Linked DNA regions of Drosophila melanogaster. The protein of the gene in region 1 purifies or fractionates together with the protein of each later gene. This does not show direct contact. Each region holds a gene or a part of one and is shown in the gene's direction. Other genes may lie near its edges.

Evidence for each region.
Region 2: the proteins of Rbfox1 (region 1) and bru1 purify together in Drosophila melanogaster (affinity purification with western blotting, with the first as the bait; one study listed by BioGRID). This does not show direct contact.

What each region holds. Positions count from the first base shown.
Region 1 is NT_037436.4:10,477,897-10,485,607, forward strand, and holds the start of Rbfox1 (RNA-binding Fox protein 1), read left to right. Parts: upstream 1-3,515; 5' UTR 3,516-4,049; intron 4,050-7,711. Other genes in the region: CG46430 (uncharacterized protein), read left to right, coding at 641-1,166, 1,459-1,490.
Region 2 is NT_033779.5:12,202,439-12,210,045, forward strand, and holds the start of bru1 (bruno 1), read left to right. Parts: upstream 1-3,404; 5' UTR 3,405-3,692; intron 3,693-5,270; exon of another isoform or gene 5,271-5,777; coding exon of another isoform or gene 5,778-7,472; exon of another isoform or gene 7,473-7,607. Other genes in the region: CG31759 (uncharacterized protein), read left to right, coding at 5,778-7,472.

The sequences.
Region 1 (7,711 bases):
TTTGGGGGGGTAAAAACTGCCTGAAGTTGGGGATCCATGGTTCAATGGGCTTGTGGGTGTGGCTGCTCGTTCGCCATTAAAGACAACTTCCGCTAACAATAAATTTTGCTTACCCTGAAATGGTTTGGAGGATGCGAAAAGCTTAAGCGCTATTTTTTATACCGAAAAATATATATATTTTAGCAGTTCGTTTTCTTTTTTAAACCACCCAGCGAGTTGGTGTCGATTAAACTGTTGTATATTTTAGTGCTCTTGTTAAGAGAGCTCAGTGGTTTTTGGGTTTTATTTTATTTAAGTCTTATTTTTAGGTGCGGCTAAGTGTGCACGGCTGCGTTAATTTGTATGGATTATTTATGGTGGCCGCTGGCAGCAAATGAGGCCACAAAGGAAGTGAAGCTGGCAAAACTCTAGTACGCGGGAAAACCCGGATGAGCTGCAAGTTTTCCGAAAGTTTGCAACCTCACAAGTGCCACATAAAATTTATGGCTCTATTTTGAAAGTTGGCAGAGCATCGACAATGTTTCAGCTCGTACACACACACTTAATATGCCTAACTGTACAAAATCAATTAACAAGAAATGGAGCCACAAGTTCGACTAGTTCGTATTGATATCAGTTTGATTTTCATCATTGACAGACGATGTTGCTAGTTCTTGTCGTGTTGCAATTTATAAGTTTTACTTATGGCAGTGAGAAGAATAACCAAACCTATTCAGAATGCGAGGCTATGACTGCAAAAGACGAGCCAAATTTTGCCATTGTTTTTCAATGTCTTGTTGCAAACTATAATTTAAATGCAACTCTATTGGATATTATGATAAAGATGGATCAATTTCAACAAATTTTAAATCAAATTTCTAACGAACAGGAATATAAACAATCACCTTTTAAAAAAATTGATGACATTTTAGAAATACCTAGTGATTTATCCGGTAAAGATTGCCAATACAGACGACAAATAATGCAAGCCATACGCAGAAAACTGGAATGGTATAATGTTATGGACGATACGGAGTCTACACTTTTCGATTACGATGATGCCATAAAGCCAGAGATTTCTGAATCAGCACCGGAAAATGCGGTTTCAAAAATCGAACTGAGAACCGATTATAAAATGGTTTTAAAAGAGATCCGTTGCCTGCTGGCAAAATCCATACGAAATACAGGTAATAAATTAAGCTTTTAACCTCTTGTTGGCCCAATTGATTGCGACAATTAAGAAGGCACAAAAGGGTGACAGGTGCGAAAATTGTTCAGAAGGTCGGCGTTACTGACTGAATTTAAATTGTAAATAAATATGTGAGCATCTCTCGCCACAATAGCACGCAATCAACAAGCCTCACACGAAACTGTACAGCAAAGGTGATTGGTACACAGCGAAAAAAAAAACAAGTTTTTTATACTAACTATAAATTGCATTAATTTTTAAGAGCTAAAAAAGATGTTTATTTTTTACAGAACCGACCGTTGATGCAATAGAAAGCAATTAATTTGAAAACTGGAATAGGTTTCCCCTTAAAATGTGACTATTTTCGTATGTATTTTGAAGTTACAACTTATAAATAAATTTATGCTAAAATATTTTCTCCGTTTATTACCTAAATATTGTACATAAATATAGCATACAGCTAGTTTAAAAATAGAATTTATTTATGTAATTTAAAACAGTGCTTGAAGAACCTGCTGTGCTGGCATAAAAAAGTATGGTCACACGTGTGCGAAGCCCCCCCCCCCCTTGGCTTTTCGCCCAGCAGTTTGGCCTCGTTTTTAAATTGAAATCTCTGCAGCCAACACTGGACATTGCCTTCATTTCCCCGCGGACAGAGAAAGGGAGAGTTGTCCCTGCATTTCTCCCGTCCTTGCGGTGCTTTAAATAATTGCTTAGAAGCCGACGAGCAGACTCAGTGGTAACAATAATAACCGCCCAAGCACTCCGACTATGATAATAATAGCAAATAGAACCTGCCGCAGATGGAAATGCCACTCGGACAGACGCCGCTCCCCTTTCTCTTACTTTTCCACATAAGCCTTTGGCTTATGACCACACCCCCCCACTGCAAATGCATTTCACTTACTCTACACACACACACACACTCGTATAGTAGAGAAAGTAAGGGCCAGTGAGAGTTTGTGTGTTTATGCTCACTTTTAATGTGCCATATAAAATAATTTAATGACCGGCCAGAGACGAGGGTGTCTCCTGGTAATGAGAAAAGCGATTGGACAAAAACGGGTGGCTGTAAATGATAATAGTGGCATATTATGATGCAGATAGTCATGACAAATGGCTACGTCGAACTTTAATTGGTAAGCGGACTTGGACTGGATCGCCATATAGAAAAGCAATTATATCTGTAATTATAAACTTATCTATTTGCCATTAAGAATGGATTACAATGTTTGAATGCCATTTGTAAAGCCATAATATCTACAAAGTATAAGTAAACAAATTTACAAAAATGACTACAAAAAAAAAGTCTTAAAAAGTACTCAATACAATTTTCATGTAAATCAACCCTTTTCCATTTTCTCTTTCTCTCCTGCTGAATTTTAAATTGTTATTTTTAAATATTTTCGTTGGGCTTTTTCTTCGAGCTTAATCTGCGGAAAATTTTCCATCGGTTGCCTTAAGTCAACCCTAATTAGGTTATTCTTGGCAATCCCTTGCTCAATCCCCTTTTAAAGCGGCCTTAAAAAACGGAATTAATTTTCCGAAATTTATATTTTTCTTTTGATTTCTTTAGATTTTTGGTTTTGCTTTCGTTCTTCGTTCCCGATTTTCGTCCTTCCACTTTACTGTCCTGGTCATTTTCTACAAAATAGTTGCGCTTTATTTCCAGGCAACTTCGTCGCTCAAGTGACAGCTGTCCTCACCTCCACTTCCGCTAGAATGTCAATAAAAATTCAATTACGTTTTCCGCCAAAGAAAAGTTGCTGCTGAAAATACGTTTTCCTTATAGCCTTCTGTTTCCATTTAAAATTGCCTCTCTTTGTCGAACGGAATTTGTTTGCCAGCCTGATCGATTTGTGATGCTGGGCCGTGGAAATGTGGAAATCAGAGACTTGGGCACTTATACTTAATGGCCTAATTATGTAACCAAACGCCCACACACAAATAGGCTGAGTAAATAATCATAATAATCAGCATTTTGGCGGGGGAAAGAAGAAACCATAAACTTCTCGGGGTTCAAATAAAAATAAATTGTGCGACTAGGCTTGGGCAATTTGGCGGAAATGGTTTTCTGCCTTGAACACATATGTTTATAAGATTTATTCTGTTTTTCTGCTTATTTTTTGTGGTTAAATAGTTGGCCAAGTTTATGCTGATGATGCCGTAGGTCGTTGTGCATTAAACCAAATTTAATGTTACCTTTTATCAGGTGGCATTAAAGAGCTCTTTCACCAAAAATATACATTTTTCTCATCCCTCAAGTAAGCATCAAACTGTTATACTGACTGTAGTGTTATACGGCAAAGGCTGCTGCATACTTACAGGCTCTTTTGCGCAAAATTTCAGTCTCCCATTGCAAGTGCTCACGTGAGGACGGAAAACATTTTGCTCATCGCTTTCGCCTCGCGCATTGGCAAGTCGCGTAAAATTCTCGTGTTAACAGGAAAAACGTCACAAATTTTTCAAAACCACCCCAAGTCCCATTACCCGCAGTGGGAAAAACCTCAAATTCCTTGGGCTATCCGTATCAATCAACGACTAAAGGCTTAGTGTCCCTTTGTGATTGTGTGTGCTTTTTGTGTGTGCACTGTGTATTTCGTTGTGCTGCCGGCTTCAATTAGCAGCTTTTCCTCATTCTGCCCGCTGCTCTTGTGTGCGTTAGATTAATGAGGCAAAAGTGTTTTGTCGTGTCGTGCGTTAAATATTTAATACAATATCAAATAAATGTTGCATAAGCCGCCTGTCATTTAGCATCTAGTGCCAAAAGCAAAAAAAAAAAGAAAACACAAAAACGTGTGTTTGTTTCGTGTGTTTACCACAAGTAATTCGGACAGCAAACGGATTCTTTTTTCACGATTCACAAGAGCACGTCGATCAAGTAAGCCTTAGCTATTAAATATCACAGAAATAAAAATGTATCCCATTTAGCACATTAAGTTACCCATTTGAACAGCTTTTATTGGACTAGTCTTCCGCTGAGATATCTTGAGAATTTGCCCATTTCCCAAACGCATTTAAAACATTTTTATTGCCCATTTTTGCTTTATGTCCCGCATTAAAACATCTCCCGCTACGTAAAGATAATTTTGATTTGATATTCGTGTAATTTTTCCATTTGTTATTTGCCCGACTTCCATTGTTGATGGTCTGGCAGGGAATTTCGATTTGCGTTTACCCTTCATTTATTTTCAGCTGGAGATGCAAATAATGGTAGAAATGCCCGCAAAAATACTTTTACAGCAACAGGACTCCGGGGCCGATTTTCATTTCAAATTGCTCACATTAAGGGGCCACCCCCCCCCCCACCGGGCATCACAATCTCCCCCCTTTTATGGCACTCACATACCCTGTATCTGTGCATATATCCCCTTATTACCCAGCGCAGAGTACGAAATTAATTGTAACCAAACGTTTTGCTGCTTGCCGCAAACTTACTTTTATACTAGTTCATTTGCCACGCCCCTATCCCCCACGGAATGGACGCACAAAGACAACTAAAAGGGTATACACGCACAGCAACACTGAGAGAAATGGGTTCTGCATCGATAGTTATAGTTTTTAAGCCAAAATGTATGCTTATATTTTCTATTGCTTAATTTAAGACTTCTTTTTAGTGACTTTGAGCCTTTACTTTAAATAACTTTAAACTTTACTTTAAATAACAAAATCGAAGTTGTGACAACAGTTTTTCCTGCGTGAGCTTATACAAACACGTGCATGTACATGTGGAGCAAGAGGTAGCTAGCATCCCAACTAAGTAAATAATGCGTAAAACAAGTCAAGCGTTTTACAAACTCACCCATTTCGCCATCCCGTTTCCCCGTTAAACAAAGGGGGTTTCCACTGCAAAACGGGGAGTTTCCCCCATTTAGAAACAGCAGAAACAGTCAATTGTAAAATTGCTGCAGCCAACAAAGCGTGGCAAGGAAGCTAAGCGAGTGGCTCAGACTGTTTCCATAGGTAGTTGTTGCCCGATGTTGATGACGGCTAGGATTGCCGGATTCCCGGCACAAGAATCTCCACCGTATGTAATTCATTATTATGCTGACTGAGGCTGGAAGGCACTGACGGTAGAAGCCAGAAGCAGGAAAAAATATTTGCGCACATGTGGCTAGAGTTTCCATCACTTCAGCGTGCTGCTGTTATTCTTGTTAAGGCTAAAATTGTCTGTCACTTTGAGACTTCCGTCATCTGCAGGATAAAAGCTGTGGGCGAAAATATGCGAGCGAAAAATGAGACTCCACATTTTGGTTGTATGCTAAATACTTCACGGTCCACGGTCCTGTTTATGCAACAAGGATGTCTTTGAAAATATCAACGTTGGTTCGCAAAAAAGGATACCTATTGTATATATCGGGCTTAGAAAAATAGGGGATTTTAATACTAAAAAGTTTTAAAAAACTTAAAACTTTCGTGACATGTGAAGATGGCTCTCATTTATCAACGCTACAAAAGTAGCTCAAAATGGCCCTTTTGAAAATATAAGGACATGAAAACGATCAAATATACCACCTGTGTCGCAGTCAAAATGTAACAACAATTGAGAACAATAAACAAATGGCACACAAAATCAAAGTTTGGTTCGCTTATCTTTGTTTGACTTCTCTTCACTTTGACCCACCAAAAAGTTTTTATTTTTTTATAATGTCCTCGAAAAATGAGCGCCATAAATCATGGGGCGTAAATATGCCACCCCCATTTATCTCGTCTAACAAAGGGAAAACTTGCACCGTAAATTTGTATAAGCAGCAATTACTTAAAAAACTCCGAACCTTGACTTGTTTAGCCAACCAATGAAAAACTCTATTGTCAACTACAATATTTTTCCACAGCTCCATTTGCAGTTATTTACATGAGCAGATCCACATTTTTGGGTGGCAGATGGGTGCTGTGCCTGATATTTTTTTTTATGCTTACTTGCGACATCGCATTTTTGCACAAGACTTCTAAACTATATTTCGGACAATATGCAACATGATATTTTTCATGCTTATTCAACAGAAAAAAAATGAGAAGAGATTGCACATACGTTCCTCACAGAATTTCAATAAAATAGAGTAGGAATTTATGTGCACGATATGTTTCCGAGATTCTATGAGCATGTAATTTGTGGGTATTTCTGTCACAGTTTATATGTACAAAAATGTGCATTGCAGTATGCAGAGATCTAATGCTTTCCTTTTTTTTATTACTCAACTCATTTTGAAACTAGCCTTTTTAAATGAAATTGCCAAGCAGTATATACTTATATTATTGAATATTGATTTATTTAATTATTATTTGAAATGAAAAGTATTTTATTCCTTCCATTTTGTAACCCCTTTTCATATCCTTGCAAATAATTTGTCTTATTATGCTCCCCACTTTCGGGCATCATCCATCTTAATCGCTTTGACTTCTTTGGGTGGTTTTTCCTCTCATTTTTCTTCTTTTCCCTTTTCTAATAAGCCTAATGGCAACGCTGTAACCATTATTTCAAAGAAAAGCGTATAAATATAATTTATTCCACATAAACTTGATTAAATGCTTCTCTTTTCCACTTTCCCCCTTGCATTAGCATACGAAAAGTGGAAATGGAAAAATCCTACTTAAGTTCTTTCCTTCTGAAAAACAGTAAACTTTCCGCACACGCAGACCACATGGAAAAAAAAAAGCCAAAAACAGAAAAGAAATAAACTCCTTTTCTGATGATGATGGCCTGGTTGAAATCCGCTTAGCGAAGGATACTTACATCCTGGCAGCTGCCACCTGCTGCTAGTCCTTCCATTTTGAACCATCTATCTATCAGGCAGTTCGTCGAAAGCCCCATTCAATCAGATATATCATCAATCATGCCCAGCATATTTCCAGCGATGCCGAAACGAATGACAACAAATATTTTTTAACCAGCACATCGTAAATGTCGCATTCAAATTGCACAGAGAAAATCGGCAAATCGATGTGAAAAATCCGCAAAATTTCAATCATTGGGTTGAATACGATTTCCACGAGAGATGAATTGCTTTTCATTTTGCTCGAAATTGGGGTTAACAAACTCATTAGATCTCTTGGCATCATTATGCAAGCAGAGATACAGGCTCACTAGGGCAGATAGTAGATACAAAAAAAAGTAGTTAGTTAGTTAACTAAAACCAGAAAATAGTAATTTATTGTATTATGAAAAACAAAAGAAAGAAAACCTTATAAGATGAAGCTATCGATTTGTAATATAATTTTAAAATGTTAGGATTTTTAAACATTCTGTTTAATTGGTATGATACACTATAGATCGATTGCTATATTTGTTAAATTATCGAATTTTTAATTTTACCAACCATTGAATAACATATTTTTTGGATTTATTTTGTCGAGTGCATAGATACGCACCCATTAAGTATGCGCCGTGTGGTTCCACTTCCGCGTATCAATGCCGCCACAATGACGCTGTAGCTGCTGCTGCTTATGCTGCTGCTCCATTTAGCGTGAAAACATTTAAGCCAACAAAAGCAGATCTCAAACGCACCCACACAAGCGCCTCAAAGTGGCATACACCATGTATAA
Region 2 (7,607 bases), on another chromosome or scaffold:
AGAGCCATTCAATTAGCCGTAATTAGACGGAAGTTGCCGCTCTGCCACTGAGCATCACTTGTTGCATGAATAATGGCTGCCAATAATAATGCCGTTAACAAGGGAAGGCATGCGTCCAAATGGAGCTATCGGAAAGGATTCTTCCTGCTCCAGCTCCAGCAGTTCTGTTTGCTTTGACAAATACAAGTTGCCTCCTGGAGCCATAATAATATTATTTATGGTCCTCCAGAGGACATCGCCGAACAGAAGCGAGTAGCTGAGGAGCCGAGAATCGATGAAAGTGGCTGACAATTTATAGATGTTTCATTATAATGGTAACGAAAAGGGGGCGTGGTGCTGCAGTGCTTCGCACATAAAGTTCAATGTTTGTGGGGGCAGATAAAAAAGAAGCTTAAAGATTCTTTTTTATTCGCTCGCTAGCAACCTTTTTGCAATGGGTCCTTTAGTGTTCTTAACATTGTTTTTTCTTTGTGTGAATTGTGATTGTTTTGTATGTATTTTTTTTATTGTTTTTACTTGCTTGACTGTGTGTAATATGTTGAAAATGTGGATTCCTAGTTCTTTCATTTTTTTTTCCTAACGCATGTCAAACATGAAAAGCAGCTTGTTTACGCTTTTCGTATACGATTCCTCCAGCTTTCAACATATGCTTCACTTATGTTCCAAGCCATTTGTTCGATATTTACAAAATAAAGCAGCTCTGACAAAACAAATTTATATTGATGACGATGCCTGCGAGTGATGTATGCAAATGGCTGTATTTAAATGGCTGTATCTTAAACATTATGCCTTTACAGCTGGCCAGTCCATTTACCTTAATCAAATTAGCTAACTTAGAGTAAACTTTTAGGACCTGAAATTAGTTTGGTAACAACCCTTTTGGGCTAAGTTAACAGGTGAGTAAGCTCAGGTATTAAATGGAGATGGCATTAACGTAGTAGACTTCACTTGCAGATGTCTTGAATGCTATTCAAAGGAATAAGTTATTTGTTCTCCAACCCAATTTATTTTATTTTCTATATTAAGAAGCTTTTAAATGTCATTGGGTTATATTACTAGAATAAAGTTTTTAAAATAGAATACAATTCGCTAGATCTTAAAAAAACGTTCCTGTTAGGGCTTTGTGGCCTAATTGTGACAATGAATACATATAATTTAAAAAATATATTTATAATCTTTAGTATGTTGTTTATTTAATGTGCCTAAATATCATGGAATTTTGAGTATCTTAATGCATAATTGACCAGCAAATATGAGTACTTAATGTTTAATGATAATGTATTTGTTAATTTGTCTTCAGAAAATACGTTCGTATGGGCTTCTTGCATTTGCAATGCCCCTATTTTAGTAACATTTTGCTCAGAATTCTGTGTGCAAAAGACAACAATGAGCAACGAGCTTTGCTTTTCAGTTTATCAGTTTTTCCCTACAATTACCATGGTTATCCTTGACAATTATTTCCGCACAGAAAACTTTCTAAATGCACTGGATCCCCTGTAATAATTGCCTAGCCCAAAAGACCCAACAAAAATACACAGCCTTGGTGGTGCCACCTTAATTGCAGGCGTCTTTCTCTAACCAAGTCAACTTTCCTCCAACCAGCACTCAGCACTCACTTATTATTAAGTTGTTTTCGAAACTAGGAAGAGGAAAAACCGGCGGGCGGAAATGGAGGAATGGAGAAAAGGAGGAGCTCTCCCGGCAAAAGTTAAATTATAAAATCGTCAAAAGTTGACGAAGACATTTTGCGCCTATGAAAACAAATACACGAGGAAAGTGCTCCACTAAAAAATAGGAGGGAAATGCGGGAGCAGGAGCCACTTAAGATGCTTAGCGCCATGGCAAGCGAAAATAATGACGCTCATAAAAACTAACTAAACACCAAAATAAAGCAAATATATATAGGTATATATATATATACATATATTTGTTGGGCTGGCTTTTTTAAGCTGGAACGACGCTCTCTGAATGACAACGATAATGATGTGCGATAATGTTTGTTGTTTCTTCGTTTGCTTATTTATTGTACTTATTCGTTTATTGTACTTTTTCATCCCACAGTGCTGGAAACAATGATAATGATAATAATGAAGATGTTATTGTGTTTCTCCTCTTTGTTGTTGTGCAATCTAAGACAACTGTCAAAGACTTTGCCAAAGGATTAGTCGACTCGGCGCCTTTCGCCCTGCTATACCCTGTAAAAGTTGCGCTAAGGATATATTACACATGGAGTAATTTGGATCAAATATGGGTTACCAATTTTTTTTTTTAATTTTTAATTTTTTTTAATATCATGTTGCATTTACGATAAAGAAATTTGCAACTGAGAGATTTTTTTTTGATTAATGACAAAAGGACATTTCAAGAAAAGCCTTTTTGAAATCGATTTAAAATTTAATTCATTTGTAAATGGTACTATAAAGAAGTTTTAAGTTAGGGATATATTAGGATATTAGGGATATTATCATATTAGGGTTTTGGAAATTGAAATATGAGGAGAAAATATATAATATAATAATATATAAGTAACATAATCTTTATAAAATTTGTTAACGTTTATAGTAGTATTTATTTTGGAAATTTTAAATCTACAACCATATAGCAATGATTTCAAACAATTCATGTAAATATTCTTCGAAATATTCATGCAAATTTGAAAGAAAGACTCCATGTAATCATCAAAAAGTAGCTTCCTACATTTTCTATAAACAACACAATAAGATACGGGGTATTCTCGCAGTCGCAACGAGTTTGTGTATCTCGTGACTGGTGTCTTTGCTCCTTGCCATTACTTTCGACCTGCTCCTATCGCAGTCGTAATTAAAATTGCACCAGACGTAGTGAAGTTTTGTACTTTCTTCGGCATCAGATAGTCCTGGAAGCCTCCCCTTCAATTTAATCGCTTTGACTGCATGCTGGTTGTAATTTATTTATTGCCGAAAATCGTACCCTCTACTCTTGATTTGCCCCTGCCGCCGCTCGTTGTATTTTTTAATTGATTAGAAACTCGAGTTTTGTTTTCTTTCTTTGCCTTCAATTGGCATCGAGCCAGGAAATTTTCAGCCTCATTGAATTTCTTTCGGTTTTTTTTCCACTCACCCTCTTGACTTTCTTTCTCGACTCGCCAATTTTAGCAAATTACTTTCTTGGCAAAACTTTTATATTTGTTGATTCATTTATTGCTAATGTCAAACGTTCGACTTGGTGAGCTGAACGACTGATATGAATCAGTGATAGCAATCAATTATGGTATCCAATTCATTTGCTTTTTTTTAAATTTAATTTAGTTTTATTTTAGCAAAGTTCATAAAAAATAAAAAATGAACAGCGAGAGCTTTGCATCCCAGTTGGCTGCGCTAACGCTTGTCAAATCGATTCAATATAGATTTTTAGTTGTAGTGTTTCCAAATCAGATTGTGTAACGTACATATAATTTTATAAAAGTTTATCAATTTTTCGGCTTATTGGTGGCAAAATTCTCAATGTGTTAACCTTTCGGCCGTACCGCGTCACTCTTCCATGCTTTTATCAATAATTCTTAAGAAGAAAATCTACAAAAAAATATACAAAGTATTTACCCCCACAAGACTACAAATGAAATAGCCCAGTTATCCGCTTTCGGCTACAAATTCTACAAGTGTAAAAAGGAAAATAAGAAGAAATATAGCAAATTCCCGCAGCAAGTGAAATAGGTGAGTGCAAGAAAGTTCTTCAAGTGTTCAGACCAAAAGCGGATATTCTAGTTGTCCTTGAGTGTGAATGGAAAGTGGGTTGGTGTGCTGTGAACTCGTCCTGTGTGCTGTGTGTGTGTGAGTGGGTGTGTGCGACACGGTGCTTGGGCTTCCACGCTGCATGACAGATTATCGCAAGGACCTTGCCGTCCTTTGAGTGTCCTCGACGGTTATTGAAATTGCTGCAATTGAGTTCGGAGTGCTCGAAGCTATTTAATTGCTGCCGCCTGCCTCCAAGAACTTGCTTTTCACCACTTCTGTCGAAGATGAGCTAACTATTTTGCTGATTTTTGGTGGATTTTAATCTTTATATCTCAGAAATATACTATCGAATATAATCATCTATACTTAATTTCAATATAAATGCTGGTAAATTTTTGAAAAGTGTATATAATATTGCTTAAAAAATGTTCAATATGTAAAACTCTTAAATGACTTATAGTTAGTTTCTAGTCCTTGTTCCATCCACTGTGTCTAATCGAAGCTTTTTGGCCATCTCTGGTTCGGGTCAATAGGAAAGGAGTAGGGAACAGAAGGAGCAGCTAAAAGTCCTCTTCTTTTTCCCGCAGGTGTTGTAAGCCAGCAACGAGTCCTGGAACTGAGCCAAAGCTGCTTTCTCTCAAGTGCTAACTAATTTCGTTGTTGTCCTTACCGCCTCTGCTCCACATCTCGGGCCCAAGGATGCTCTCTGCATCCTCGGGCTTAGCCTCATTCCCTGGCTCATCCTCATCATCGGCGTCTTCCTGCAGTTTCGTTTTTGGTGTCAGCAACATTTCTTCAACTGGTTTCGTTTGCCCTGCCAGTCAGGTTGTTGTCCTTTTTGGTCCTCTGTGTCCTTTATAGAGTTCTATGCGATTTTTCTCTTGTTTTTGATTTTTATTTTTTCATTTGCTCCTTCGTAGTGCAATCTTTTTGGCAAACTCTTGTGTGGCGCACAGTTGTTGACTCTGTTTCGGGGCCAAGCCAATTCCTTTTTGGCCTGGCCAAGTCATCTCTTGGCTTGTTTCGGCGTTTTATGCACTTGTGTGCTCCATACCTTTGGTCCACCCCTTTGCCAAATACGCTCTACACATATGATCTGGCTTCTGTTTCGAATTTTTATGGCCGTCGTCTCAGTTGTCCTTTCTTAACTTGGCCGAAAGTTGAGTTTCCTTCGTTGGGGCAAGATGTCTCATTTGGATCGTAACACTTAGCTTAATGTTTACGACGTTTGCCGTGAAAATAGTTTTCAACTGAAGTGAAATAGGAGGTTTTATAGTTTTGTTCGGGTGTATATTTTGCGAATAATAATGTTCCTCCTAATGACCACAAAAAAGGAATAAACGTTTCCTATATAGAAATTTTTTTTCTATTTCATAGAAAAAATCTTCTATTCTTCGATATGTTCAATTTCAGATCATAGCAACTCTTCATATATTTATCAGCTTTATAATTTTATGAAAAAAAGTAATATTTAAGTGAAATCTTTTTGCTTTCAAGATTTGAAATTAAATAAAGCTTTTATTAAAAGCTTTTGCGTCAAAGCTTCAACGTTGCTAATGGCAGAAGCTCTCTCAAGATCAGCTGTTTCTCAATGCCGAGCATGTGGTTGGTTTCGTTGTGAATGCCAAAAACAACAGCTGATCGCGCGGCGTGGCAGAGCGAAAAAGTAAAAATCTCTCTTCGTTTTTATCGAAATCGGCGCAGTTTCGCCTAATTTCTGCGGTGTTTTCGTGCAACACGACTGTTTGCCGATTGTAAATAGGTGTAAAACAACTTAAATGTGATTAATTTTGCAACTAAATCTGGACAAGTGAGTTGTTACGACATCGGTGCACCAAGTAAAGTTGTCTAACCCAAAATTTTCCCAGATAAAACGGCGAAAAACAAGTCAACTAAGAGAAGTTCTCTTCTTCAACGCCGATCTTCGCTCCAACATTTGCAACATTGATGGGGTTTTTTTTGTTTAAAAACATAGTTCGCAATTCTGATAAATTATTCGGAAATAAAACTCCAACTAGAGTTTCGCTATTGTCCAGATTTTGTGGCACTTCCTTGGCTGGTAAAATGGAGAAGGTTTATTTGAGAAATGCAAGTGATACCAAAGAATTGGACATTGTGTTTCGCTTTGTGAATGAGAATTTGAAAATAAACCGGGAATTCAATTTCCGTCGCCAGATGAATGAGCCCATTGATGCGATATTGGCCAGGATTCAGAGTAATATTATTGGCAGGCTTGCAAAGTCCTGCAAAAAATCAAAAATCAAACCGCCGGCAGAAATCAATGTTAAACTTCTGAGTGACAAATATGGTGAAAAATTCAATGAATTAACATTTGAGGATCTAGTCGTCACCCAAGATATCAGCAATGTAAAACTGCAGGTATTAGATACGGTCTACGATTTGGTGTTCAATCCACCGTGGATTTCATCCCTAAAATTTTTGCCCTCATGCATATTGGCAGGATTTGTAATATACCCCACCAATGTTCAGATACAATTCGGAGAACGTCAGTTCAGCAAAGCAGTTTGGTTCAAGGCCAAAAAGCCCACAGACACCGATTGGGAGGTGTGCGGAGAAGGATTTCAATATCTAGTGACTCCTGAGGATATTGGTTACCATTTGAAGTTCGTGGTGACGCCGGGTAATGCACTGGGAATGACGGGTCCTGTGGTGGAGAAGATAACCAACTCTGCAGTGCAGGAATCTCCCGGGCGTTGTCCATTCCAAGATCGCCAAAGGCACACCACGAATTCTTTGAGCGAATCGAATGAAATTCGTGTGGTGTCTTACAATTTGTTGGCCGATTTATATGCCAGTAGTGACTATGCCGGTAGCACTCTGTTCTCCTATTGCCCGGCAAAGTATCTGCAAATAGACTATAGGAAGCCACTGTTCATCAACGAGATCATCGGTTATAACTCCGATATTCTCTGTCTACAAGAAGTCGATCAGCGAATATTTGATTTTGATTTAAAGGAAATTCTAGAACAACCGCCGTATAACTATCACGGCATAATGGCCCCGAAAGGCAAATGCGCTGAGGGAGTGGCAATTTTCTTTCGGAACTCGCGCTTCGATCTCTTGGATTCTCAAATCCTGCATTTGGGGTCCAATATTCCCGCACTGCCCGTATTTGAAAGCCTTTGGAATAAGATCAAAGTTAACGCACAATTAGCAGAACGAATCTGTGAACGGTCCACCACTCTGCAAACTTGTTTGCTTAGAATAAAGGGTACCGATAACTACGTTCTGGTGGCCAACACGCATTTATATTTCCATCCGGATGCAGATCACATTCGCCTGCTGCAAATGGGATTTTCCATGCTATTCGTAGAGCAATCTATTAGCAAAGCTATAAAGGACTTTAACATAAGTAGCCACAAAAACATTGGACTAATATTTTGTGGCGATTTCAATAGCGTTCCCGAGTGTGGAATCTACAAGCTGATGACGGAGCAGCTCGCCGAAAAAACACTGGAGGACTGGCAAAGTAATGCCGAGCAGGCGGTTTCGAATGTGGAACTCGCGCAGCCTTTCAAAATGGCATCAGCCTATGGGGCACCGGAATATACCCACTACACCACCCTCTTTGCGGGTTGCTTGGACTATGTGTTCTACCAAAACGATCGCTTCGAAGTTCTAAAGGTGGTGCCACTGCCAACGGAGGAGGAGTTGAAAGCCAATACTGCGATACCATCGGCTGTTTTTCCATCCGATCATGTTGCTCTTGTAGCAGATCTCAAATTTAAGTCAGATTGATAAATTTTTGGGCTTGCATATAAGAAAAATTAAGAATATCTCGGGGATTTCTCAGCATAAATAAATGTATACGTATGCCAAATACTATGCTTAAATGTAATAATACTCATTTCTTCTTTATATACAAAACAAAAT